3 linked regions of the Callithrix jacchus genome follow. The protein of the gene in region 2 purifies or fractionates together with the protein of the main gene of each other region. This does not show direct contact. Links are inferred from orthologs where the notes say so. Each region holds a gene or a part of one and is shown on either strand. Other genes may lie near its edges.

Region 1 (9,659 bases), on a different chromosome or scaffold from region 2:
AACACTAAATTTACTTTTGTGTTGAACAATACCTATCCCCAAGTGAAAGAAAAACTCAGCTATGGTTTTACAGCTGGCTCCACACTTCTAATCAGAGGAGGAAAGGGTCTGATCTCACAACCTATTTATGTAGTTTTTAAACTTTCTAAGAAAAATGAAGCTCCACTATAATTAATGCCTAATGGTATAAACACTCCTGCTTTAATATGGTTGCCTAGTAACTATATACTGCAGGCTTGTGAAGTTGCTAAAGAGGCTGAATAAACAGAAATATTCAGGTCCATTTCCAATTCAAGTGGTTAAGGGAAAGAGCAGGCCAGATTTTTTGTTGTTAAAAATTGGTTTTCCATAATAGTTTTGCACTAAAACATCTTTTTGTACTAAAACTGACTCTTGCAAATGACTTTTGCAGATAAGAGTCCAAACCAACAAGTAATGATTTAAAATGTAAAAAACATTCAAGAGAATGGAACCAACACTATCTCATTGTTCAGTATTAGCCGGTTTCTGTTCTTAGAGTGACTGCACTGGGGGATGATTTTCTTAATGTGGCTCTAACCTTGCAGTAAAATGTTATATTTGGATATTCCTTCAGCAATTGAGTGAAGAGATACAGTTCCCAGTTAAAGGTGGTATTAAAAGGGGCTGGGAGTGATTATGTTAATTATGTATGTTTCCCTTTGGCTTGCTTCCTACACGGCAGATTTTATTTCCTAATTATGTTTTGCTTTAGCTTAGGTAAAATTAGCCTGCATTCCTTTGGCACTCACCAACTGCAGTTGGTGGAGGAGGCCTTCCAAAAAACCATAGATTGTTGACAAGAGTGGCTAACTAGATTAGAATTAAATTTACGGAGTAAAATCCACAAAAAGCCTAAGGCACATATAGATAAGTTGACTATAAGGGAATGTAGTTAGGTCACAGGAAGATCGTTTCTGGCAATGGACACTCAGCTCCTCTGTACTCTTTGTCATGGAGTTCCTGATGTCAAGATTTGGGGCTTCCTAGGTTGGTCACCGTGCTGCAGACAGGGATAAGCATGGTTTGCAGTATTTAAATTGTGTAACTGTAGGCTCACAGATACAGTCAGAAATGATTTGCTACTCCGTAATTTTGTCATTTGGCAATACTGACATGTTGACATACAGTTTGCTCTTTGGAATTAACATAAATGTTGTCATTTTACCAAAATAAAGAATTCTCTTACTCCATGATGGAAACAGTTTTAGGCTATGTGTATATTCCTTTATCTTTTCACATTGAAGGAAGCATCCTGTTGTATCATTATGTATAACTCTGGGTTTTTGGTTTAGTGGGTTGGAGGATGTGGCTGATGAGGCCAAGGACATGGTTTAATCAGAAAACCACTTGGCTCCCAAACATTTATCTACATTCCTACTTTCAAGAACTAATTTCCCTGGTCATTTCACCCTTAGAGAGTGTGCTATAGCTCAGCACAAATACCTCTATTCCAGGGTTTGGAAAATAATTAGCCTCAAATTATTTAGTCAGTGGGTCATCAGCATCATTATTACATTCCAAAAAAAGAATGTAAATTATAGTTTTCTCTATTTGCAATATAGTCAATATTACTCCTTCCATTTTAATGCTGAAAGGAATTTACTGATTAAGAATCACGATTCATTTTTGTTGAAGGGATTTATTTTCCTCCTGTTTATACTTCTATCTCACTCCTTTTTTACCCTGCCTTTCAGTAACTTTCACTGTAGCCCTGGGATGTCTTCTTAAATTATTATTATTAATTATCATTATTATTTAGCTGTTTAATGAGGCCTCAAAAGATTTAATTTCTGGAACCATCCAGTCACTACCCTTTCAGATCTATTTGCTTTGACTGTAATAGAGCCTGCCTTTGTGCAAAGAAAGTCTCAGAAAGAGTTAATTTGCAATAGTAACAGAGGCTTATTCTCAAGAGAGAATTCAAACCAGCAAGTGTCTTCCTGGTGGAGAAGCAGCCCCAGGCCAGGCTACTGGTGAGGAAGTTAACTCTTAGTGTGCCACTTCTGTGCAGTCGGTGAGATCCTCAGCCAATCTTCAACAGTGCCAGTTTTAAGGTAGAAACGGAATGCTGTCAATTCTCCTTCCAAGGTCCTGGATTTTGGTGGTCAGAGAATGTGGCGTCCTGTGATTTTTGTCTGTTTTCTTTCCATTTCACAAAAACAAACAAAAAATGATGGGGGTGGGGGTGGGGAACAGGGACTGATTTCCATGTGGCATGATCCTGCTTTAATTGTATTTAGGTGAATACAAGCTATCTTTACCTAATGACTTTTTCTTAATTGGGCTGCATGTATAAAAGGGATTTGCTTTCCAGAGATAGTGTCATTTCATATTTCTAGCTCTTAACCCTGAGTAAAATTTATTATCTTATTCTTTTTTTTCCAGTTAATTGCTTGGGGAGTATTCAACATCAGAATCAAGAAAATTGATTGTCTTGCAATGTGTGAAAATGCATTTTGAAAAGAACAAAGAATGCTCTTGGACTTTAAATTTTTACTATCAACTTGACATCTTTTACTGTCCAATGCTTTTTTTTCATCTTAAAGGAATCTAGTAATTCTAATATTGAGCAGTTTTAGAGAGTATACTTAATAAAGAAAAGTGGTATAATGAACAGGGATGGATATTAAAGGGATAAGAGAGGAAGTAACTAGCAGAGCCAATAAAAATAAATAAATAAATAAATAAATACCTCTACTCACAGGATAACCTGGAGAGGATTTCTAATCTTCCGACCTTTAGCCCCAGAGTTCTAGGTAAAGTTCTTTCTTCACCTCTCTTCTGGAAGAGAACTTTTCACAATTTATTACTCAATCCCTTTCATGGTCTTTGTAGAAAAGGTTTTCTCTGCCCGGGTTTGTGTCATATTTAGATCCAATTTGGAAAGTGGAGCAATTAAATTCTCAAAATCTTTCATTAAGACCTGCCATTAAAAAAAAAAAAAAAAAAAAAAAAAAAAAAAAGCTTTGATCTGTAACTCTTGGACTGAACATTCCAGTCATTCATCTTCCAGAATTTCAAGTGCAGGATTTGGTTGTGGTTTGATTTTACTTTTTTGAGACAAAGCTTGAATGTCTCAATTTGATTTTATGCATTCGACACATTTTTAGGGATCTGGTGATTTGGGAAGGGCTGTACCATATGGTCTTGGTAAGGTGATAGATTTTCACATTCTGGAAATTGGCAGCAAAGGGTAGGAAATGAGTTAGATGTGGGAAGGGAAGTCTGAGTGTTTGGGCCTAATTCACTCACCTCATGAAAAGTCTTCTGAGTTGGGTAATTCCCATAAAATCTAAGTTTACAAAGATGGTTTTTGATTGTTTTTTGTGTATACGTACACGTATCCTCACACGTAGGGAATAATTTTTTTAAACTCTCAAAAGTAGAGGGCATAACATTTAGCTTTTAAAGCTATGACATTTAACACTTCTTGGTTAGTCCTTCAGAAGAGACCTCAGACTTGAGGGGTCAAAGAACATAAGACAGCCAGATACAAGTTCCCTGAAAAGGAGATTACAGAGTTAGGTGCTGAGGGGCCAGTGCCATGCACTAAAAGAAAACAGAACAGACACATCGTTTTCATCTGAGGACTGTTTTTGGAGAAGGACTAGAGTCAAGATAGAGTAAGTAAATCAGAGCCAGGTGTATATACACATACATTGGGAGGGTAAAAACACCCTGGCGGCGGTGAAATTTAAGAAAGCAATTTAAGAAGAAAGGGGTGCCTTGTGTGATTCCTCGGGGCGGGATAGAGGGAGCTGAAGTGTAGGATTTTCCCTGATCTTTCAGAGAATTCAGTTTCAGGAGGCCTGACATTTAATCCGGTCTGTGCAAGGATTTCTCGGGCTTGGTGGGGGTTCTGCGGCACGCTTTCTCCCTTCACCTCTTCCCTGGTCTTTGATCCCTAGCCAGTGCGCAGAACCGCAGCGGAGTCAGGTCGTGCGCCCATTTCTCGCACCTCCACAAGCCCGCGGCTGGCCCAGCAGGGCGCGGGGCGGGACCGAGGCGGGGCGCTCCGGCGCACAGAGGGTTAAGCGGCGAGGGCGGCGGCGAGGGGCGGAGAGAGCTCGGCGACTCTCGGCTCCCTGCGCCCGGCTCCCGGAGCCCGCGTCCCGGACAGCAGCGGGTTAAGCGCCGCCCGCGCGGAGAGGGCTGAGTCCGGAGCCGCGGCTCCGAGCTCGCATTCGGATCCGCTAGAGCAGGAAGATGGCGACTGACGGCGCGAGCTGCGAGCCCGACTTGTCCCGGGCTCCAGAGGACGCGGCGGGGGCAGCGGCGGAGGCGGCGGTAACCGAGTTCCCGGGGCGGGTGTGGGGCGAGTGTAGACGCGGGCAGGGGGCGGCGCCGGGGCCCCAGCTGGACCGGGCTCCGCACCGCCGGGGCGTTCTGTAAGCCCGGGACCCTCGGGTGCCCCTTCCTCGGGGTGCCCGCAAGGCGATGCCGGTGGGAGCGGAGCGGCCACCCGGGCTGGGGCTCCGTTCTGCCCCTTCCGCGCCCCTGGGGAGCGACCCCAGGTCGCCTGGTTCTCCCAGCCTCCTGCGTGCGTCCCACTCGACCCCTTCGCCCACTCCCTCCGCTGCGGTGGATTCTGGCGGGGGGCGAAGGCTGGGACGGGTTTCCTGGCGAATTTGACCCCCCATTGTTCACCTCTCGCTGCGCGCATGGTTGCGAGCGCGTGTCTCGCGGGTGCCTGGTACCTCTCAGCGGACCTGGGAGAGCTTCGAGGGGGAGGCGGGCCATCGCCCAGCAGGTGTGGGGATGCCCATTGTGTGCATCTGTTCCGGTGCCTTCGGGAGGCCCTTTGGGAGAGACCCCGTGTCCAGCTGTTGGCGCTGCTGCCGCTGAGGCCAGCGCTTTAGGTCCTAGCAGCCTGCTACCCCATCACTTGGTGGTGGTGATTGGAGTGGGGTGAAGGGGTTGGTTCTTCCCGAGGCAATGCCCGGGCGAGGTGGAGGTTCTGCACCTGGTTTCAAGACATTGTTCTCCTTCTTTGGGGTCTAGAAGGCCAATGCGCTACCATTTATAACTGGTCCTCACTTTCACCCCCTGAATATCTCCGGGCAGATACTCACTGGTGGTTTCCAGCCTCTACCTTGGGGGAGGGCTGGACCCACATTTCCCTGGTGGAAAACGTTCTCAGTGTTTGGGAAGCAGCCTCGCAGGAGCTGCAAGGATCTGCAGAGAAAGGCAGATCTGTGAGCGCCTCCCACTCTTGGCCCGATCTAGCTGCTCTTGCCGGAGGATCGGGGTGGGTTGGAGCGAGCGGGGCGTAGACGCCCCCTCCCTTCCTCTCAAGACCTGAGCAGAGTCCGTGCAAAAGCGGGAGAGGGCAGGGCCAGGCATAAACAACCAGGGCCGCTTTAACTTCCTCCCACCCTCTGGAGGTAGGGCTTTCTGGAGAGGGAAGAGAGATGTGGAGGAAGGTACTTGGGGTGAGAGGAACTGAGCCTGGGAGTGGAGGGAGAAACAGGGGGAGGAGGACTGCTGATTTCCACTTGTAAAACTGGCAAGTTTTGATTTGAACTTTTCGGAAAACGAACTTTTGTGAAATCAGAGCTTTAAGATTTCCAACGAAACCTGGCCACTTAACGTGAATCAGCTCCCCTCTGTGGGGCACAGTAAGGAAACTAGCTATTAAGACAAGGCTCTCGGGGAAGTGGAAATGATTTGGTGCCTTCATCCCCAAAAGGTGGGAAGGAGAAGAAAGAGGAAAAAGAGGGTGCGAGGTGTGTGTGTGTTTGTAGGGGTGCCTGTGTAGGGGTGTGTGTGCAGGTGTGATGTGTGCGCGCGCAGGGGTTCGTGCAGGGGTGTGTGGGTGTGTGTAGGGGTGTGTTTCTTGTTCCCCAGGTTTAATTTGTTTACTTAATCTACTTAGAATGGGTTTCTTTCTATTACCCTCTATTTTAATCACCTGACAATTAACCCAAACACAAACATCTGATTGATGGTCTGTAGAGCTGATATATAGTTTTGTTTAGTTAGATCATAAACAAAACTTTGGTCGCCAGGAAGATTTCTGTGTTAACAAGGTCAGTGTTCCCTCTCTGCCGTTTAAAATTTTCAAGTCTGATTTTCACTGCTGATATTTGGGGATTTGATAATTTCACCCTTGTTAATGGGCAGAGCCATGGAAAATCTTCGAAAGTGAACCTTCTTTGCTATTTCCGTAGAATCCTTTAGGGTTGCCAGATGCAATAAGGATTCTTCATCTAGTAGTTAAAAAGAAATAAACTTCTGACATTTTAGTAAAATTTCGATGATGTCTTCTTATGTAGTAAATTGGGCATTTTATTTTACTTCTCCAGTTTTGACTTAATAAGGCATGGTTCTCTCATATCAGCCACTTGACTTGTAGATTAATTTTGAAATGAAAGGAAAGCTAGTGTAGAGGAGTGATATGTGTCATCACAGTTGCTCCTTAAAAATCAAAGGCGTTTTAATGCACGTTGGGTTCTTGTTGACTGAGAACTTAATTTTTATTTTAGTGAACAATTCACTTTGCATTTTGGAGATTTATTTAATTTCAAATCAGTTTACATATTGTACATTTTTATGTATACATTTGGCAGTAAGGAGCCAATGGAAGCTCTGAAGCAGTAGGCTATTTTTGAAAGTCAGTGTTTTCACTAAGCTTTGACTATTTAGATTGTTGCTTAGAAACAAGCTTAATTTATAGTTTTCAGTTTAATATCATTTTTAGTGGAATGTTTTAAATTTAGTTTGTGATCCTCATTCTTAGCTGTTTAAATCCTAAAAGCATACCAAGTTTAAAGCTGGGTAACAGTTACATTATTTAGTAGGACTGTATTAATAGTCTTTGCCATGAACCATGCCGGGAAACCTGGGTTATTTTCAGTGCCTTAGCCAAATGTGATGACTTTTATAGGCCATATTGCTGTTTCTACTCTGAAAATAACTCCTAATGGATAAGGCAGTATGGAAAACAGAAATCTTCATACTTTTTATTGTCACCAAATAATTTGGGAGTGAAAGGAAAATGGAGATCTTTTTAGAGTTATATTTGGAAAGCCAACCAACATTCTTGCCATTCTGGGCTTTTCTGGAGCAGCTAATATGCAAGAAGTAGGTATAAAATTTGTTGTCATGGTGACAGTGACAAAGAAAAACTTGGACAGTGATTTAAAATGCACAACAGTGATGTTAAACAAATTAACAGCTGGCACCTTGAAATTTTTGTTTTCCAGGTGACAGGGTTGAATGTAAATGCACAGAAGATAACTTTTATAGCCAATTTCACTATGTTTTTTTAAAAAACTAAATTATAGATATATGGCAGCTATAGGATGTTGAAAGTTTTGCAGCTTAATGTTTTAAATAGGAAATAACGTAGATTTAACTAACACGTTACTGAGCATTTACAGAGATGCAGGCATCATAAGTATCATCTTTGCTGCCCTGAAGTAATACATCCCAGTGATAGAAACTGACATACACCAAGGAATCAAATCAGAGATGATGGTGTTATGAGAGGCACACATGATTTTGCATTAGAAGTTTGGAGTGCAACTTCAGAGAGGATCCCCAGTGGATGGATCTAGAAACTTCCAGAGAAGGATGGCATTTGAGGTAGACCTTGAGATTTAAGGATGATTTGGACTGGCACTGCAGGAGTGTGCAAATGTGGCCATATCCTTGGGAGACATATGTGAAGGGCTTTCAGCGATGAGCATGGAGGTTTCCATTTTTTTCTTAGCTATGTGGTTCAGAAAAAGAGCTTGGAAGTTGAAACTGACTGGAATATTTTTCCAAAGACGAGAATATAACTGTTTTCAGTGTCCTGCTTTTCTCTTTTTTTTCTTCTTAAATAATAGGCCGTACATTTCTGTTTGCCCCAGTTTTTGGACTTCATTATTATTGTTGCTGTCATTGTTACTGTATTTCTCATAGGAGCAGTTTTGTTTAGAGAACATTTGTCTTCTCAGTGATTGAACCCATGCCTCAGTTAGATTGCCAGTTGGTTCTATCCTGGTGTGTTTCACATAACTTTATGAGGTGAGAAAATGTTTCACAGACTTGGTACTTAGATTTGCAAATAGCTGCTGTTGATCATGTGCACAGCAAGGCTGTGGCTGGGAGAGAGTGGTGTGACGTTTGTAAAAGAAAGCAAAGGTGCTAGCACAATGCCAGGCACATGGTAAGTGTTCCCCAAGTATTTACTAAATGAAGAAAATAAAAGGAAGCTCACCAAGAAGTTGTGTCATAAAACTTAATGATGATTGGCTAATTAGAAAATTTACTGTGTGTTACCAGCTAGCTTATAATGAAACTATTGGCCTGTGACTTGTAATAATTAACATTATAGATATCACAGATGTTGATCCAAAAAGATGACCCTAATTCTTAGTTTTAAAATTTTTCATCTTAATACTGCCCGTTTCCAAGCTGCTTTTCTCAGTAACTTCTTAGATTCTTCATAGGGGTTTTTTAAAAAGTTTAATTTCCAACACTATTAGTTTTCTCTTTAGATTCTCTATTTTCAAAATGATGATTGAGGCCGCACCCCTGCCATCCTGCATCCTTCCAATAATAGAGTCAAGGCCACATCACCCACTGGGATGTGGAAGAGAGGATGATTAATAGGGGGTTAAGAGAAACATGGAGAAGTTTGGAAACAGGAAAAGGGAATAAAAGGAAAGATTGGGCAGGAAAAAGGAGATTAGGCAAGACTTTAGAATAGTCTGCAATTGCACAGAAATGTGGAACTGGAGTAGTAGCCCCAACTCCGTTTACTTTGCCACCCAAGCCCATCTGAGTATTGCGTTAGAAGGAGACTTTATTTGAACACGTTCCATTACATTATTCTCTCTTGGTGCTCCTTTGCAAAGCTTTTATAACATGAAAAGAGATTTGTCTTGTTTCTTGGTAGTTAGGTAAAGAATCAGAGAACAGGTACGAGAGAGGATGATGATAACACTGATAGTGAAAGATTTTTAAAATTTTAATGTTTTAAATAACTTACATAAATAATGAGATCATATTATTAATGCTGTGTATGGCATGATGCCTTCCATACAGAAATCCTGATTTTAGAGGGGGGAGATACTCTCTTTAAATAAATTATTAGTAACCAACTAATAGGTTGGGGATCCATTTAATAGGTCATAGAAATGTAGTGTAGGCTAGGTAACATTGCTATGTGGAGTGGCTACTTGTTTGCAAAGATTTGGTTTTGACATATTATATTTCATTGAAAAGACAAGATGGTTCCAAAGGACTGCCTCTTCATTTGGCCCAGCGTCTCATTTGAAAGTCAGCATGCAGACATTTGCCACCAACAGATAATCAAGACGATATTCTTTAATGCATTATAAGCTTCTTAAAGGTTGGTTATTACATCTGAATGTCTGCTTGCCTGTGGAGCTGATCCATGTCCCGTGTTGGGCTGATGTAACATTGGAAAGCTGAATTAGGGTCAAAATAGACGCTTGTTTTATTTGAGATGTTGTCCTTTTTTTCCTAAGGAGGAAACAGAGACTGTGGTGAGATCTGAAAGGAGGGAAAGGGAAGTAGTTGGGCCTAATTATTAGAGGCTGTCACCCCTGACTGAGCCACTTTTCTGCCATTCTTTTCAGCTCTCTCTTAGTTAAAATTAGTTACACTCATTACCAGGTTTCCTT
Region 2 (9,700 bases):
CGTTCAACATTATTTTTCATTGAGTTGTATTCATTTTTGGGGGGCAGATGATCTGTAGTTCAGTACAAGGGTAAAATAAGAACATTGCTTTGTTTCCACAGCCCACCTGATGTGACCCAGTATCTTATGAGTCTTTTCTTTCTTTGGTCCCGGCCACAACACTGAGCCAAAGTCTTCAGAGAACAGTGAATCCCAAGTCTGTTTCTTGGTTAGTAGCTCCTAATGCAAAAAGTGTGGAGCATGGTTTCTCAAACCTTATCACCATTAACATTGTGGACTGGATAGTTCTTTGCCGTGGGGACTGTCCTGGGCATTGTAAGATGTTTAGCAGCATCTCTGGCCTCTACTCACTAAACGCCAGCAGCACCCTCCTTCCTATTTGTGATACCCAAAAATGTTTTCCAGGAGGCAAAACTGTTCCTGGTTGAAAAACATGCCCTTGTCCCATTGTTGCCTATATTAAAGTCTAGCTATGTCCATCTACCTACTACTACTTTTCCATCTACTTCAGCTAAGAACCAGTCAATTCAGGAAATATTTCTAAACACGAGTAAAGTTAAATATTTGATACAGGCTGAGTATCCCTAATCTGAAAATGTGAAATCCAAAATGCTCCAAAATCTGAAACTTTTTGAGTGCTGACATGATGTCACAAGTAGAAAATTCCACACCTGACACCTTTGCTTTCTGGCAGTTCAATGTATATCAACTTTGTTTCACCAATTTAAAATATTGCATAAAACTATCTTTGGGCTATGTATATAAGGAAATCTGAAGCATAAATGAATTTCATGTTCAGACTTGGGTCCCATACCCCAAGATATTATGTATATAAAATTATTCCAAACTCCAAAAAAAAAAAAAGATCCAAACATCTGAAGCACTCCTGGTCCTAAGCATTTTGGATAAGGGATGCTCAACCTGAATAGATGTATGACAAATATCAGGAAATTGAAACCAGGTGCCAAATTTAAATTATTAAGTTTTAGGGCCTCAAGAACACTGTCTAACTTGAAATTCACTAATCTTACCTAATCTGTGTATAATCGTACCCAATCTGTGTATAATCTTGCTTTATGTATATGGTTATTAAGTATTCACAGCCATTCGGGTCACATCAATCAAGCAGGTGCCAAATCCTGAGGTGCTATGTTACACTCTATGTGTGACCAAAAAGCCTAAGATGTATCTCTCCTCAAGAAACATTTTCCAGCCGGGCGTGGTGGCTCACACCTGCAATCCCAGCACTTTGGGAGGCTGAGGCGGGTAGATCATGAAGTCAGGAGTTTGACACCAGCCTGGCCAACATAGTGAAAACCCATCTCTACTAAAAATACAAAAATTAGCTGGGCATGGTGGTGCATGCTTATAGTTCCAGCTATTTGGGAGGCTGAGGCAGGAGAATTGCCTGAACCTGGGAGGTGGAGGTTGTAGTAGGCTGAGTTGCGCCACTGCACTCCAGCGTGGGTGACAGAGCAAGACTCTGTCTCAAAAAAAAAAAAAAAAAAAAAAAAAAAAAAAAAAAAAGAAAGAAAGAAAGAAAGAAAAGAAACTTTGTTTCATTAAACTATAGAAATACATTGTAATGGATTGTCAGATTCTGGGCTGACTTTTCTTTTGGAAACGGAGTCTCACTCTATGGCCCAGGCCATACAGTTGTGTGATCTCAGCTCACTGCAACTTCTGCCTCCCAAGTTCAAGCAATTCTCCTGTCTCAGCCTCCAGAGTAGCTAGGACTACAGGCACACACCACCACGTCCAGCTAATTTTTGTATTTTTAGTAGAGATGGGGTTTTGTCATGTTGGCCAGGTTGTTCTCGAACTCCTGACCTCAGGTGATCCACCCACCTTGGCCTCCCAAAGTGCTGGGAAAACAGACATGAGCCACCAGGCCCAGCCTGGACTGATGTTTTGAAGTAAAATATTCAAGTTTCCTTTGTGTGTGTGTGTGTGTGTGTGTGTGTGTGTGTGTGTGTGTGTAACAAAAGCATACTTCAATTTATTGTCATTTTATTGAAATAAGAATTTGAGAAATAATGCCGTTCAAAGTGGAAAAAAAGTCCTAATGCTCATAAAATTTGAAATGTTTTCAAATTTTGACACCTTCACAAGATTTTGTTTATAGACATACACACAGGAAAAATCATTTAAAAGCCCACAAAGAATCCCATTTAAAAACTCAACTGATCTCTATCAATTATAACAACAACTGATACTTTATTTAATAGCAGTAAACCAGAATAAAGGCTAAAAAACTCACTAAGATCTCAAAAGCAATGTCTTTCAGGAAATGTCTTCCTAGTCCAGGTCTCAGCACTAAGCTTTCATTCTTCCACATAGTTACGTAACTGTGGCCCAGAATGATATCAGAGAAAGTCATTTCTCTGACAAGCCTAATTTACTTATCTATCAAAATTATACAACTTGCTCATAAGTAGTTGTGAAGTTAAAGTAGCCGGAAAGAATTTTGGAGACTAAATAATGAAAGATGTAACACACAATAAGGTGAACAATTTAAATATTCAGTAAGAGCAATGCCTAAGGGTTTAACCTGACATCGATAAAACATATAGTGTGCATATTACACACCTAGTAACCTCAGTGAAGAATTCAATAGAATTTTATTCATTCATTCAAGAATTACTTATTGAGGGCCTACTATTTGCGATGCACCTAGTCTCTGGGGATACAGCAATGAACAAAACATAAAAAAAGCTTGCCCTCAGAGTCCTGCCATTCTACCTGAATAATTCTCATGTAAGAGAAGCTGGATTTCTGGCCTCAAGGACCTAATATGGGCAGAAAAAGCAAATGAAATATATGAAATATGAAGAAAGGACTACAGCGTGAGCGCTGCTCACATTGGAGGGATTTAAGGGAGGGCTTGGAGCAACTAGGAAGAGTCAATGGAGGTGAGACTTGAGACAGGTTTTAAATGATGAAGTTTGATTCAGATCCTTGCAACTCAAAAGTGTGATGTAGGCATCATGACCATGTGAGAGCTTGTTAGCATTGCAGAATCTTGGGCCCACTCCAGACTTGCAAGATCAAAATCTGTGCTTTTGAGGGATCAAAAGAACCCTCGGATTTCTAGGGTTCTTAGAAGTTTAGGTGGCGCTGCAGGTTTCTGGTCAGGCTGGCAATGCTGTGAGCTGGGTTGGTGGGAAATCAAGACTAGATTGGAGCCTACCATTAGGTTAGAAATAGTGAAAGGCTGGACTGGGGGAACTAGGAGTGAGGAAAATGCAGTTGTACCCTTTATCATTAAAAACAAAGAGGAACCACAGAGAAAGTAGTAAATTTATCACCAGGCAGAGGCACCTGCGTCTGAATTCCCAGCTGCACCACTTCTTGTGTGACATTTGGGTCAAATTATTTAACCTGGTTGAGCCTTTTTCTTCATCTGTAAAGTAGGGGGAAATCAATAAGACCGCAGAAGGCCCTTGTAAAGGTTCAGTAAGGTATTAATAACACACAGAAAGCACTTAGCAGTCTCTGGCACAAAGAAGATGACATCCATTAATGATAACGATATTGATAAGAATCATATATTATTCTCTGAAAAAGATGTAAAAGGAAGAAGAGAAACTACTATTTACCACTAGAGGCCCCCCACCGTGTGGTGGTTAGAGACCCAAAACAAACTTCAAAGTAAAGAACTTCATTTTAAACTGGCATTCGACTATTACGTTTTTAAAAAGTAATTAACCCCTTATGTGTTCCCAAAGGTGCCTTCATAATGAAATTCCTGTTGCTATTATTACCAGTGTTACTGTCGCTGTTAGAGTACTCTCAAAAGAGCCTGTCTCCCTCCCGCAGTGGAACTTAAAATGCGGCGGAGGCAGGGAGTTACCAAAATCGCTGCTGTGTATGCCGAATTCAACAACCTGTACTGCTGACGATCCAATCTCATTTCCCAAGCCTCTACTATCCTCATTAACTTTTCTGCTGATATAACATCTGCTTTCCATTTTCCCTCTGCCTTTACACGTGCAGAACTTGTGGTAGAGAGAAGCCCCAGTTTGGCCGTCCTGCAAGTGATAGCCAAAGAGGTAGGGGGAACCTTAGGTTAGAAGTCATCTGAACCATGTCTGGGGTCGGGGAACTCGTAAAGCTTGAGTGTGGCTACTGGTCTGCCCAGAGGAGCAGCCCCCAGCTGAGGAGGCCAGATGGCGGGAAAAAGCGGGGGCCGCCGACTCCGCGGCTGTGATCCCGCCCTAGGCCAGGCCGGGGAGCCAAGAAAGACTTCCAACACTCCCAAGTTTCAACTCAAGTCGTCTCCGAGGGTGCGTGTGCCCCAGCCTCGCACGCCCGCCTGCAACAAGGTCGCATCTAGGACGCCCTCATACCCTCAGGGTTTCCCAAACTCTTCCATTCTCTTCCCAGGCCCAGCCGTGTTCCAGGTCTCCCGTTCGCCGGGTTCTCCTCACCCCATGCCGGGAGAGTCTCCAGCTTCTCAGACTCCAGCAACCCCAGCCAAACCCCTTCGCTGCCTGGAGCCTTGGCTCCCGCGACACCGCCCGGCTGCGGGGCGGGGGCAGGGCCAACGGCGGAACCGCCCCCAGCCGCCTCCCGGGCCAGGCAAGCAGGCGGGTGGCTGGGACGCCTCCACCTCCTCTTCCTAAAGCGGCGAGGCGCAGAGGAGCGGCATCACTCGAGCCCAGGTCCCAGCCACCACCACTCACAGCGCTCGGCGTTCAGGAAGAGGAGCAGCAGCGGAGGCGGCTGCTTCAGTGGCGGGCGGGCGCCAGAAAGGTAGACTGAGTCCCAGGGAGCCCCGCCGCGAACAACCCACCTCCCAGCCCGGGCTACGCGCCTCCAGCCCAGTAACCCCACTTCTGTGTGTCCTTCCAGGCCCCTAACGACAAGCCTGGGAGGGCCGCCGAACTACCCCTGGAGGAGGAGCCAGTCCGAACTCAAGGCGCTACCGCCGCAGAAGCGGAGCGAGGCTACAGTCGCCTCCATGGCCCACTCACCAGTGGCTGTCCAAGTGCCTGGGATGCAGGTGAGGAAGCGCAGGCCGCCCCCCGCCGCCCACGTGACTGCTTGGGAGCCCGGAGCGCTCTCGGTGCTGGGCACCGACGACAAGGGACGGCCCCGGGACTCCCCTGAGGGCTGGGCCGGTCACTCTGGCCAGGTGACCTGGGAGTAGGGCTTGAGGTGTTTCCTGGTGTGTAGGCTAGGTGGTGCTCTTCGCTGGGAAGGCGAGGCGGGACTGGAGCGCGCAACTAGGTGGGGATTGAGGGCGGCTGTGGGGTATAAAAATAGGCCAGAGCCACAGACACCTGCGCCTGTGGAGCTTGGCACGGTTGGGGATGGGAGGGGGGGAGAACTTAACCTGCGAGACATGAAAGTGCCTTGGAAGTTGTGGGGTAAAACGCGAGTAGTGAGTGCCCTACAACCCCCACCCCAAACACGCACTCAAGCTGGGGCGGGGCAAGACCAGGGGTGTCGGCGGCAGCTTGAATTGGGCTCTTCCTGTGTGCGTAGGGCTGAGAGAGAGAGGTGACCTCTTTCTCCCTTTCGGTACTGCTGCTTAAGGGCAAAGTTGTATCTGGCTCCCCGACCTGGCCCAGCCCATAGCGTGGAGCGAGAAATGTTGGTCCTGTTCAGAGTCGCTGAAGTGATGAGTTCCCAGCCCCCCTCCGTGCCTTTCCCACGAGATGACTTACATGTGGTTAAAGTAAGCATATTGTCCTGGACAAGGGACTACTGCATGGGACCCAACTTCTTACTCAAAGTCTACCCAGCCCAACCCCCTCCCATTATATTTTCATTTTATTAAAGGTAAGCCATGTTGGAAAACTTCTCATGCTGTTATGTTTTTAAATCGGTGCACTTTAGGCTATCTGCTAAATGTTATCCAAATCTACCAACTTTTTAAAGTATTCACTTTTTTTCCCTTTGCTAGATAGCCCAAACAACCCATTTATGAATAGTTTAGAGGCTAAAAACAAGAAAGCCTCAGTCTCTCATGATCTAAAAATGTGAAAACAAACTTTTTTCAAGTTCAGAAATAAAATGTTTAGAGTAGCAAATAGCTTATATTTACTGTAGACTTGGGCCTCAATTTACTTATTAGCAGTGTTCTCATTTTATGCATGCCCACAAAAGTGATTTTAAAATTATTTCCCAGAAAGGGATCATTTGTGCACCTAGAACTCCTGGTGTGTCCTAAACATCAGACATTTCAGCTGCATTTAGGGCAAGTCTGGGTTGAGTCTCAGGAAGTTAGTGTATATTAAAGAGAGAGAAAGGGAAATAGGAAATAGTAGGGCTTAAGAAAAAAAAAAGATTAATCCATTCAAGCCTTGCAAAATGTCTCAGACTTTCTTCCTCTCAGGCGGCCTCCCCTCTCTTCCCCCCCCTTTTCCCCACACACCCTGTCCCACACCCCATTCATTCAGTTCTGCCTTTGATTGTATCAAGGGAATTCATAGTTTGCAATACTAAGTACAGTTTTGCCGTCGGATCTGGGAAAAAGTGACATTTTCCCACCGTGCTCTTCTTTCCGTTCTATGGAGAGTGGAACGATGCACACGTGAAGTTTGTCTCTGAGGGTCTCCATGCTTCTCGCTCCATTGTGTGCGTGAGCCTGCGTGTGTGCGTCAGCAGAGTGAGTGCCTCCCGTTCTCAAGTTTGTGATTCTGGGGAACTCTGTGTGCTAAGGAGAAAATAGTTTCCGATCTTTACTTTATTTGTCTTGACCTTATTGAATTTATATGGTTTAGGAACTGCTTACTGTTCAGTATTTCTAAGTGCTGTTCCCTGCTTTGTTTAAAGATCTGAGTTGCCTATCTCTTGAATATTTACATCTTAATTAATGTGGATTCGAATGTGAATCACATACTTTAAATTACAAACTCTGCCTTTCACTGCTGTCTGAATTCTGATTACTTTGTCCCATCTAATCTGAGTAGGGCAAACATCTCAATGTTAGCAGAGAAGAGAGGAATTATTATTATTTTTATTTTTTGGTCATTCTCTTCATCTTAATGAAATGGTAAATTCTTCTTATTTCCATTTTCTTTCTAAATGTACTTCTTAAGCACTTTGTGCAACACATAGTTTTTTCCATAGTTGAAATTGTACAATACCCTAATAATAAATGTGAGAGCACGCAGTGTGACTCTTGAACCTAGACTATTTCTGTTATTGTTATATAGCAAAATATTGCGGATGAGATGCAGAAATTCGTTGCAAGCTTGTAAAATGCTCCTAGAGTTTTATGAAAGCCTTAGGAGCAACTTTTAGATTTTTAGAAAACTTGAGTTAGCCATGTGTTCTTGAAATTACTGTATGGTGTTTCCACAAATCAGGGTGAGGTGACCGGCCAGCCTATAACTTTTTAACAGTTTATTTTAGAGAATTATGAAGATTGATGGGAAAAACGATTTTTCCAGAAATAAAAACAAAATTATCCACAATTTTTTTCTCCCTCTGAGGAGAGACGTGAAGCTACCTGTTCTATCACTTAAGACTTCCAGCATTCCTGACTTTCAAACAAAGAAATTTCTGTTGCCACTAGTTTAAAATAGAAAAGAAACTTGGAGTGAAGAAAGAAAACCCAGGATTTGGTCCAGTTCAAACTCTTCCTTATGAATTAGGTATTCAAACTCATATTGTTGATATTTCTTAATATTGTGGTAATGAACATTTTTGCCATATTACACCAAATGTTGAGGGTACTTATTTTGTGCTTGCTTCTTTAGTGTGTAACTAAAGGAATTTTCCATACCAGTAGCTGAACCCTTGAAAATATTGAAAGTACAACTTAAAAAAAAATAAGCCAATAAACCTTTTCTTTCAACTTAAATATGTACTCTTTCATGATTTGAAGAGTTTTGAACCTGTTTTCTTTGAAGTTTTCAGTTATAAATTATACTTAGTTTTAAGATATTTCCCCTTAGAACCTACAATAGTATTTTTGAGGACAAATTTTCATTTAGAATATTGTTAATAAATCTTTCATAAGATGTAGGTGGAAGAATAAAGTTAAATGTTGAATTAGAGTATTGAATGTTATGCTTTATGCTATGTCTCTTGTTAAAGAAGTTTTAAAGCTTCTGCTAAAGAACTTTAAAATTAGCCTTCACATATCTTTAAATATGAGCAAGGTGGTATAGTTTAAATATAGTTGTTATTTGAGATGAGAAGTAGAAATGGAGTTTAGGGATTAATGAACAGTATTGAAGACTTTTACCGAAGTGGTGGAAAACATTGCCCAGCATTGGTGAATATAGTAACTGGATTCTGGGAAGCATACTGAAGTGTATTACATGTTTTACACTTAAATATCTTAAAATCTTGTTGAGTTGTTAAAGCTAGCATATGAAATATCAAATAATGCAAAATCTGTGAACTCATTGTAAGTATAATAGAAGTGTCTGACTGGAAGAATTGAAGGCTTCCAGAAAGTAAGTCTTGTTAGGATGCAGTCTGGGCAGGGCATTTCCAAGCAAGGAAAAATCCCAAGCAAAGGTTGACAGACTAGGAGTTTTCGAGTTTACGGTGGTAGTCACACAACCATTCTGTTTTTCACTTTCCATACAGTATTCGGTAGATGACATGAGATAGTCATCACTTTGTTATAAACAGGCTTTGTGTTAGATGATGTTGCTTAACTGTAGGCTACTGTAAATGTTGTGAACGCATTTAAAGTAGGCTAAGCCATGATGTTCGGTAGGTTGGGTGTACTGTATTAAATGCCTTTTCAACTGACAATAGTTTCAATTTATGATAGGTTTATGGGGACATAACCACATTTTAAGTCAAGGAGTGTATGTATACAATATGGATAAGGAAGGGTATGCTGCATTTGTGAGCGCGCGTGCACACACACACATACACACACACACACAATCTTTGAGAACAGGATAAAGTCATTTGGGCTGTCATAGAGAATTCCTCTAGAAAAATAATATGAGATAACATCGGAAAAACTGGATTTAGTACAGATCATGGCTGTCCTTAAATGTCAGGGAAGGATTTTGGCCTTTGAACTAGCCATTAAACATTTCTGAGTAAGGGAAACTCAATGTACCAAGTTACATATAGGAAGAGAAATCTCAAAATTGGATGAATGAATCCAACTGGAGGATTGAGAGAGGAGGGGTAGTTTAATCCACAGAAGCTATTTCTTATTTTCTAATTTTTTTTTTTTTTGAGATAGGGTCTCACTCTGTCACCCAGGTTGTAGTGCAGTGGCGCGATTATGGCTGACTGCAGCCGCAACCTCCTGGGTTCTAGCAGTCCACCCATCTCAGCCTCCAGAGTAGCTGGAACTACAGGTGCACGCCACCATGCTGGGGTAATTTTTATGTTTTTTTGTAGAGACAATATTTTACAGTTGCCCAGGCTGGGCTCCAACTCTTGGACTCAGTGATCTGTCCACATTGGCCTCGCAAAGTGCTGGAATGACAGGAGTGAGCTACTGCGCCTGGCTACAGAGGCTATTTCAATGGGACAATCATAGTTATACAGGCACAATGGGCCTTCCACGGGCAGGTTCCCTTCCATATGTTTAATACTATGAAGAAAAAAATTAATTACCAGGCTTAATAATTAGCTAGTTTCAGAAGGAAAAGTTAAAGACTTTGTGGTGTTGAATATGGGGGAACTGGGAGAATTAGGATCCATCTGAAAGAGATTGGAATGTAATGGAGAAGTGCCAGATCTGGTAGGAAGTTAATGATTTCTG
Region 3 (9,824 bases), on a different chromosome or scaffold from region 2:
ACCACTGCACTCCAGCCTGGGCAACAAGAGTGAAACTCCGTCTCACACACAAAAAAAAAAAGAAAGAAAGAAAGGAAAAAAATGAAGGAAGGAAGGGAGGGAGGGAAGGAGGGAAGGAGGGAGAGAGGGAAGGAGGGAAGGAGGGAGAGAGGGAAAGAAAGAGAGAGAAAGAAAAAGAAGAAAGGACAGGAAAGAAGAAAGGAAAGGAAAGGAACGGAAAGGAAAGGAAAGGAAAGGAAAGGAAAGGAAAGGAAAGGAAAGGAAAGGAAAGGAAAGGAAAGGAAAGGAAAGGAAAGGAAAGGAAAGGAAAGGGGAAAGAAGGGAGGGAAGGGAAGAAGGGAAGGGAAGGGAAGAAGGGGAGGGAAGGGAAGGGGGGGAGGGGAGGGGAGGGGAGGGGAGGGGAGGGGAGGGGAGGGGAAGCAAACAAAGCCTACAAGAAATATGGGACTATGTGAAAAGACCAAACCTACAATTGATTGGTGTACCTGAAAGTGATGAGGAGAATAAAACCAAGTTGGAAAACACACTTCAGAATATTATCCAGGAGAACTTCCCCAACCTAGCAAGACAGGCCAACGTGCTAATTCAGGAAATGCAGAGAACACCACTAAGATACTGCTTGAGAAGAGCAACCCCAAGACACATAATTGTCAGATTATCCAAGGTTGAAATAAAGGAAAAAATGTTAAGGGCAGCCAGAGAGAGAAGTCAGGTTACCTACAAAAGAAAGCCCATCACACTAACAGAGGGTATCTGCAGAAACCCTACAAGCCAGAAGAGAGTCGGGGTTGTCAACATTCTTAAAGAAAATAATTTTTGGCCAGTTGTGGTGGCTCACATCTGTAATCCCAGCACTTTGGGAGGCTGAGGAGGTGGATCACCTGATGTCAGGAGTTCGAGATCAGCCTGGCCAACGTGGAGAAACCTGGTCTCTACTAAAAATACAAAATTAGCCAGGCGTGGTGGCACGTGCCTGTAATCCCAGCTCTTTGAAAAGGTTCTTATGAGGTGATATTAACTAATCCTTGTGCTTTTGAGCTACAGGGCTTTACACATATCTCATCCAAAGAAGGCACCAACTCCTGTCAGTATCTGACACTAAACTGCAAAGGTGACAAAGTAAACTGCTTTCATGAGGCCCAGGGACAGTCTTGTGTTCAAAAACATTACAATTCATTTAACAATTTTGCCTCTATCTGAATTAGTATAATTTATTCAGTGCCTTGATACTAAATCATTTAAATGTTTAGCTACCTATGAACTTCCTTTCCTGTCATTCTCAAAAGTAGGCAGGGTTTATGACCTTTGTGTTCGAAATGTTACTTCTTTCTGTTTTGTTTTACCTACAGACTTTGAAACTATTCAATCCCTCCAGGCCAAAAGACTAAAACATAATATTGTAAGGGCCAATACTGAAGGCTCAAATTAGTTCAGCCCCTACAAAACAAGGATGGCACACAGATACCAACACAGCTCAACAAAATGCTTGCGGTTTGTACGGGTAATTGTGACAAGCCAAGATTACAGCAGCTCAATGCACGGAATTTATAGATAAGACAATTTTGTGACCTTGCCTTTTGGCTTTTGGTTTTTGGCTCTTAACAATCCTTAAGTGGGGGTTTAAGGTTAAAGAGTGCCTGCCCACCTTCCTCCACATCTGGCCTAGAACATTTAATTGACTATAAGTCTGTTAATCATAGGAGGGACATGATGGACTCAGGGCAGGTAGCACATCACCCTGGCATTGATATGGGACGAAATAAAAGTTTGGAAATTGATACTGTCTCTGGGATACCTTGACAAAAAAAAAAAAAAAAAAAAAAAAAAACGGAATGCTGTTTTGAAGGCATGAGCCTAACCACGCCCCATCTGCGAGCATGTGATCAGTAAAACTGCTTTCGTTTCACCGCACCTCGCTTCTCATGTTTTTGGCCTCTAAACAGCAAGCAGCCAGATGTGAGCCAGTTGCAATAGCAGCATTATTTACAATAGCAAAAGATGGAAGCAACCCACTGGATGAATGGATAAACAAAATGCAGAATATACAATACAATGGAGTATTATTCAGCCTTAAAAAGGAAGGAAAATATAATATGTGCTACTATATGGATAAAACTTGTGGACATAATGCTAAGTGAAATAAGGCAGTTACATAAATACAAATGCTGTATGATTTCACTCATGTCAGGTATTCAGGAAAGTAGCATGGTGGCTGCCAGGGGATGGGGAGAAGAAAGAATGAGGAGCTACTGTTTAATAATGCAGAACTTCAGTTTTGCAAGATGAAAGAGTTCTAGAGATGGATGCTGATGGTGGCTGTATAACAGTGTGAATGTACTGCTATTAATACTACTGAACTGTATGCTTAAAAATGGCTCAGATAGCCGGGCGCGGTGGCTCACACCTGTAATCCCAGCACTTTGGGAGGCCGAGGCGGGTGGATCACGACGTCAAGAGATCGAGACCATCCTGGTCAACATGGTGAAACCCCATCTCTACTAAAAATACAAAAAATTAGCTGGGCATGGTGGCGCGTGCCTGTAATCCCAGCTACTCAGGAGGCCGAGGCAGGAGAATTGCCTGAACCCAGGAGGCGGAGGTTGCGGTGAGCCGAGATCGCGCCATTGCACTCCAGCCTGGGTAACAAGAGTGAAACTCCATCTCAAAAAAAAAAAAGGCTGAGATATTAAATTTTATGTGTATTTTACCACGATTTTTAAAAAATTAAATGAAAATAGGTCAGGTGCGGTGATTCACGCCTATATTCCCAGCACTTTCGGAGGCCGAGGCAGACAGATCACTTGAGGCCAGGAGTTCCATACCAGCCTGGCCAACATGGTGAAACCCTGTCTCTACTAAAAATAACAAAAATTAGCCGCATGTGATGGCACATGCCTGTAGTCCCAGGTTCTTGGGAGGCTAATGCAGGGGGATCGCTTGAACCCGGGAAGCAAGGGTTTCAGTGAGCCGAGATCACGCCACTGCACTCCAGCCTGGGCAACAACAGCAAAATTCCGTCTCAAAAAACAAAAATTTTAAATTAAAAATTAAATGAAAATAAAAACTATGAGTAACAACCCACATCGATGAAAACCAGTAGGGAAAGGAGAACTTCCTACTGCCCAGTTAATCATGGCCTGACCAGCAGGCTGTGGGAATTGGAAACCAAGGGCGTGGCAAGGGCAGGTCTGGGGCTCCGCGCTGGGCAGGACTGCAAAGAAGCCACAGGTTCCAGCGGGTAAACCCGCAAACGGGACTGCTATTGCGCAGGCGCAAGACACCTTTTAAACGTGCCCGGAAGTGACGCTTGTAATGCTGAGACAGACTCCCAGATCTCAGCAAGTCGCGTAGCTGAGCCCGGCAGGTCCAGTGGGGTCGTGCCGCTGCTATGAGCTGCACCATCGAGAAGATCCTGACAGATGCCAAGACGCTGCTGGAGAGGCTGCGGGAGCACGATGCGGCCGCTGAGTCACTGGTGGATCAGTCGGCGGCGTTGCACCGGCGGGTAGCCTCTATGCGGGAGGCGGGGACGGCGCTTCCGGATCAGGTCAGGCAGAGGGTAGGAGTCCAGTGCTCTCGGATTCTGGGCACTGAAGGGTGGAGAGCGAGGTAAAGTGGGAACTCGGCCTGGAATTGATTCCGCGTCTCAGAGGGCGGCGGTGAGACATTTTTCCTGGGTCGGGGCTGAGAAACCTGCCCCGGAGCGCTGATTTCTGCCTCTTCAGTTGCATCTGCCGCTGTTCTCTACTTAGTCTGTCTCTGTTTGTCCAGTATCAAGAGGATGCATCCGATATGAAGGACATGTCCAAATACAAACCTCACATTCTGCTGTCCCAAGAGAACACACAGATTAGAGACTTGCAGCAGGAAAACAGAGGTTAGTCGGGCCTTTTCATATCTGGTAATAGTTTGAAAGGTATTGCAGAATTGCCCTAACCGTTCACAAAAATGTACATATATTTCCAGGTCAGTACTTTTAGTAGGCGAGTCTTCCTGTGCTGGCCCGGTAACAGCAAAGGTTTTTAGATTACCCTTTTCAAGATCATCTGACTGATTTTGTAGCAGCTTACCAAAGAGCTGCTAAGTAGAGTTGAATTCTTGCAAACTTTAATGTTTAATAAGTATTAATGAAAATAAACACTAAAGGTAAGGTTTAAGGTTTTGTTTATGTTCTTGTTCATGCAAGGGAAGCAGCAGAATGTTATTTTAAGGGTATATATTCTTCGGCTTGATTAGTATATTATTAATAATTGTAGTATTACTAGTTGTTTACCAGCGGGGTTTCACAGGTATCATTCTACTGTATTCTCCTATCTTCATTTTTAGCTATTTATTACAATGCAGTTAAGAAATACACTCAGAGACGCTAAATGATTTACTTACAAGTATTAACGAAGCAAGTTACAGAACTGAACTCAAACCCGTGTCTTCTGATGACATATCCTTTGTTGTTTCTGCTTCTCTGCCTAGAAAGTTATCTTTCACATAGACTTTAACTGTTCAGTTTTGTGGACTTAAACCCTGATTTACAGCTTTGGATTCATATTATCTCTATAGTGTTACAAAATTCCAACTGTTAAGACTTTGGATATGGGAGCGCTCTCTCAGACATCACTGCCAAGTTATTTTATTTTTGATAGAGCTCTGGGTTTCCTTGGAGGAACACCAGGATGCTTTGGAACTCATCATGAGCAAGTACCGGAAACAGATGTTACAGTTAATGGTTGCTAAAAAAGCTGTGGATGCCGAACCAGTCCTGAAAGCTCACCAGTCTCACTCTGCAGTAAGAAACTTTGAATAAATTCGAAATGAACTGAATTGAAATCTTGAGATTGTTCATTGTGTGCTTGTTTTTGTTTTGTTTTTTGAGATAGGGCCTGGCTCTGTCGACCAGGCTGAGGTACAGTGGCACGATCTCAGCTCACTGCAACCTCTGCCTCCTGGGCTCAAGCCATCCTCTCATCTCTGCCTCCTGAGTAGCTGGGACTACAGGTGTACACCACCATGCCCTGTTAATTTTTGTGTATGTGGTTTTTTGGTTTTTGGTAGAGATGAGGTTTCACTGTGTTGCCCAGGCTGGTTTGAAACTCCTGTGCTCAAGCAATCCATCTACGTTGGCCTTCCAAAGTGCTGGGGTTACAGGCATGAACCACTGTGCCTGGCCATGTGTGCTTGTTTTTGAAGAAAAGTAAGCTTGTTTTCCTTTCATGTTTATCACGTTTGTTGTTGATTTTGCCATGGCTTTGTAAAGATATGAATAGAAAGGAGGAGGATGGGGCTGCTCAGGTCCTTTTATTTGAGTAGGAGTAAGGTACCCCCTCCCTTACCAAGATCTCTTTTGAAGATGTTCATTAATTCTTAGCTCTCCCACCAAACATAATGCCAGTTAGTGTTGAAGATGCCCAGTAAACACTTGGTTGCTTATTCTTTATACATCTCACTTAAGCTCCTTTGTTGTAAGGAGCATGAATTCATATTTTATTCCTACCATAGTACCTGACATACAGCAGGCGGTCAGTAAACATTTTTTAAACTGAACTACATAGCATTATACCATGTTGTTAGGGAAGAGAAGTATGCTTTTTTTTAAAAAAAAAAACAAAAAAACAAGCATGGCATAGTTTCTATACTTTGCTTATGATCTAATTTGAGAGACTCAGTAATTATTCTTATGCTTGTAGGTGCTTCGTAGATGTCATTGTACATTCATGTGTACTGTATGATTTAAATCTAGATGTGTAGATTGGAGCCTACTATATGCTACTGTGAGATGCAGTGAAAGATAAGCTTCGTCTTAAACTCCATTGAATGCATTTTACTGACTTAAAAGTTTTAGGAAACAGATATTTTATAAATATTTGAATGGCTTTCATCTGGAATAGAAAAGTAGATTTTATTTTTTCTCTTATGGAGGAAAAAACTTGAACCTTGAAAGAGACAGAGTTTACTCAGATAGATAAACTTTCTAAGTGATATGTCCAAAGATGAAATGTAATAAGCTTCCTGCCAATTAACGTATTCAAATTTAAGTTAGCCACTTAGAGATAGTATCCAACATCCAATGGGTAGTTAAACTACAATTGATTTTTCAAAAAAAAAAAAATTATCTGTGAATACCACAAGGTCACTTGACTATGGCTTTATATCTGAGGACTAAAATTGTAGTGAAACTCCACTGTAACTTCTGTAACATAGATTAAATGAACTTTTAAAAATCATAACACACACACTCTTACGTTCTTTATTTCTATAGAACAAATGATTTTTTCACCTTTGTTTCCTTAATATCTCCACAGGAAATTGAGAGTCAGATTGACAGAATCTGTGAAATGGGAGAAGTGATGAGGAAAGCAGTTCAGGTGGATGATGACCAGTTTTGTAAGATTCAGGAAAAATTAGCCCAATTAGAGGTAAGATTGTTGTCATTTTGGGTTCACAGTATTTCAGAGTTTCCAGAGTCTGGAAGATACACCCTCACTGTCCTATCACTGTAATATATTGATGTTTTCTGTGTGTTTATGATTTAAAATTAAAACTCCTCCTTCATACCCTATGAAGAAAGAAAATATAGTAAACAGCAATCAAAGGAAATACCAACTATGTATTGGCAAGAAGTTGAGATATCATGCGAAGGTAGTGGGAGTGGAGGGGAGAAGTTATATGTGAGATAAAATCCTCATCTGCCATAATAAGAAGGGAAATAGGTAATACCTAACTAAAATCTTTGATCAGGAAATAGCAGTATAAATGTATTATTTAGAATTATGAATTAAATACCAAAAGAAATAGATAAAATAGTGGTTGCATTTGGGGTGCAAAGCCAAAGAACCGCTTGTATAAGCCATGTAGTCTTGATTTCTTAAAAGCTATGCTTATGTCATATTTTGATTAGAATAGGAATATGTTACAAAAAAGGGTTTGGGGTATAGTGTGCCCATAAAATTGTTAAGGAAAAACATTTCAATTTTGGGAGGTTAAGGCAAGTGAATTGCTTGAGCCCAAGAGTTCAAGAGCAGCCTGGGTAACATGGCGGGACCCTGTCTTTACAAAAAAAATACAGAAAATTAGCCAGGTGTGGTGGTGTGCTCCTGTAATCCCAGGTACTTGGCGACTGAGGTGGGAGGATCACATGAACCCAGGAAGTCGAGGTTTCAGTGAGCCACAATCACATGTACCACTGCACTCCAACTTGAGCGACAGAGTGAGACCGTCTCAAAAATTTAAAAGAAAAAAAAAAGCGAAGCATTTCAGTTACTGGTTTGAGTGCTGCTTATTACAAGGTGCTGTCCTGGGCCTTTTGACAAATACCAGAGAGAAAAAACAGGTACCTACCCAGAGTCTAGTGGAAGGAATAACCCTAGTACTTATATGATATGAAATAGTATGTGTAAGTGCTAGGAGACAGATACAAATACTGAAGGAAGCACTTCATGGGGTAGATTTATCGACTACAGGCTCTAATCTCTTAGTTACTCTATCTGCGGCTTCCACACATCTTGGTGAAGCTAAAAATGCTTTGGTTTACCAGAATTTTCTGCAGAGAATAAGGATGAAGAGTGCAAGCTACCCTGTCTAGAAATCGAAGGTAGTGACAGGTCCCAAGTAGTAATTAGGAGCCAGTGAAATGATAGAATGACCTTCTATTTGTCCCCAATTTCCTCACTTATGGAAATAGCCCTAAGGAAATGTGGGACAAGTTCTACTTTAATACTTCATGTAGAAAAAACATGACCACATTCAGACCCCAGCAGTATCACATCCAAGTTGTCTGAATTTTGACAACTTTTTGGAATTTTGTAAGACAGAGTATCCTCATCTTAAGTAGAATATGGATGTAGGCAATGATACCCTACCCTACGGGTTATTGTGGGATAACATATACAGTGCACCCATGCAGTACCCAGCTACATGCTTAATAAGCCCCTTTTCTTCCGTTTCTCTAGAACTGTAAGATATCCAGGAGTGGAGACTAATCAGAGTGAAATGATTATTAGGAATTTTTTAAATAAAATAAATAATAGTAAAACTGTGGGAACCATGAAAAATATAACAGTGAATTCCTCAGGTGGAGAGGGACCTTGTTTTTTGTTTTTCCTTTACAAGCCTCACAGTTGGTATATAGAAATTACTCAGTAAATTACTACTACAAAAGAGTATCATTGCCTACATTCTACATGTAAATGTTTGTTAAATGAATAAATAAGTAGTATTTAAGGAAATTCTCAATTCGTGGACTTTTTGTTTCCTTAAAATTTTTTTAATTAAAATAATGTTTTTTGCTCCTGGCCCAAAATAATGTGTTTTTATAACACAGTTTGACAGTAAAAAATACCAGAAATAAACATGCCTTTTTTTTCCAGCTTGAAAATAAGGAACTTCGAGAATTATTGTCCATCAGCAGTGAGTCTCTTCAAGCCAGAAAGGAAAACTCAATGGACACCACTTCACAAGCCATCAAATAACTGAGCTCTGAATGATGGCTGGAGATTGTCTATCAAAGAAGGAAGTTACTATCTTCCCATTCAAGTACTGTTCATTAAGTGTCTTGCCTCAGATTTGATTTAACCTTGATTACAGTTATCAGGTGGCAATTTAGAATTTCCAGTCAATATTGCTGTCCATGAAAACGGTTCTCAGATGTATTAATGTGGATACATGCTGAATTTCACTATTCCTTTCTCAAAGAGACTACTTTTAATTTTTATTTCTGGGACCTTGATTTATATAAACTGTGTTTTCAATTCATTGTTATTTTTCACATCTCTGAAACTTTGAGCATTTTTTTATAAGCCAGCAATTTTATTATGTATAGCATTGTAAAATACACTCCTAGGAAATTTTAGGAGAGATTTAACTTTTTAAATTTATTTGGCATAAACCTTGGTTTATCTTTTTTTTTTCATTTGATATAAATAATACAATTCCACAGAACTAAATCAGTTGATTCTCTGATTTGTAATGTCATTCGCCTGTGAAGTTTTAAGTCTCTCTGGTGCTAAGAATTGGCACTTTATGGCCTGGTGCCTTTGCTTTTAATTTGAGAGAACCTACTGCTAGTCCCAGGAAACATACTTGGAAATAAGTCAGCTATATTTTTCCCCAGTGATAGTATAGTTGTCATACATTGTTCAAAGTTCACATTGTTCAAAGCTGAGGAACTTGTCTTGTGTATGTGCATGCACACATGTAAGTGCACTTATTTCAAATACTAAAATTAGCTTTTATTAAATACAATCAGCCAAAAACACAAGAAAATCAAAAAACCCAAATATAATGAGTCAATTTTTCTTAGCTTTTTTTTTTGAGACAGAGTCTCACTCTGTTGCCAGGCTGGAGTGCAGTGACACGATCTCAGCTCACTGCAACCTCCAACTCCCTGGTTCAAGTGATTCTCCTGCCTCAGCCTCCCAAATAGCTGTGATTACAAGCACATGCCACCACGCCCAGCTAAGTTTTGGATTTTTAGTAGAGACAGCGTTTCAGTATGTTGGCCAGGATGGTGTCGATCTCCTGATGTCATGATCCACTCGCTTCAGCCTCCCTGAGTCAATTTTTCAATGTTATCCTACTAGTTCTACATTCTATTTTAACTTTTATATAATTTCCATGTTGTAGTTAAGAACTGTCACTTACTTGGATTAGATGCCTTTCACTCCTAGTACTAATAGTTGACTTTCTTTTTAGGTCTATTTTTTACATAAAAGTAGCTTTTTTTCTTTTTAAAGCTATATACAAAGGTAAGGAAGCAGTTTTATTACCTAATGAGAATTATTACACTCATAGTGCTATGTAGGCAACATTGAGATAAAAATGCCCAGTGGTCA

The links.
Region 1: the proteins of STK26 (region 2) and CTTNBP2 purify together in Homo sapiens (affinity purification with mass spectrometry; 4 studies listed by BioGRID and IntAct, with this or other methods). This does not show direct contact. The link is inferred for Callithrix jacchus from reciprocal best matches to the Homo sapiens genes STK26 and CTTNBP2.
Region 3: the proteins of STK26 (region 2) and SIKE1 purify together in Homo sapiens (affinity purification with mass spectrometry; 4 studies listed by BioGRID and IntAct, with this or other methods). This does not show direct contact. The link is inferred for Callithrix jacchus from reciprocal best matches to the Homo sapiens genes STK26 and SIKE1.

The regions. Positions count from the first base shown.
Region 1 is NC_133512.1:88,459,643-88,469,301, reverse strand, and holds the start of CTTNBP2 (cortactin-binding protein 2), read left to right. Parts: upstream 1-4,201; 5' UTR 4,202-4,227; coding exon 4,228-4,308; intron 4,309-4,619; exon of another isoform or gene 4,620-4,771; intron 4,772-5,240; exon of another isoform or gene 5,241-5,405; intron 5,406-5,409; exon of another isoform or gene 5,410-5,683; coding exon of another isoform or gene 5,684-5,710; intron 5,711-9,659. UniProt on the Homo sapiens protein: Regulates the dendritic spine distribution of CTTN/cortactin in hippocampal neurons, and thus controls dendritic spinogenesis and dendritic spine maintenance.
Region 2 is NC_133524.1:127,579,300-127,588,999, forward strand, and holds the start of STK26 (serine/threonine-protein kinase 26), read left to right. Parts: upstream 1-4,649; 5' UTR 4,650-4,755; intron 4,756-4,854; 5' UTR 4,855-4,963; coding exon 4,964-5,005; intron 5,006-9,700. UniProt on the Homo sapiens protein: Serine/threonine-protein kinase that acts as a mediator of cell growth. Modulates apoptosis. In association with STK24 negatively regulates Golgi reorientation in polarized cell migration upon RHO activation.
Region 3 is NC_133508.1:152,756,813-152,766,636, reverse strand, and holds the start of SIKE1 (suppressor of IKBKE 1), read left to right. Parts: upstream 1-3,311; 5' UTR 3,312-3,388; coding exon 3,389-3,559; intron 3,560-3,771; coding exon 3,772-3,877; intron 3,878-4,640; coding exon 4,641-4,783; intron 4,784-6,296; coding exon 6,297-6,410; intron 6,411-8,360; coding exon 8,361-8,462; 3' UTR 8,463-9,824.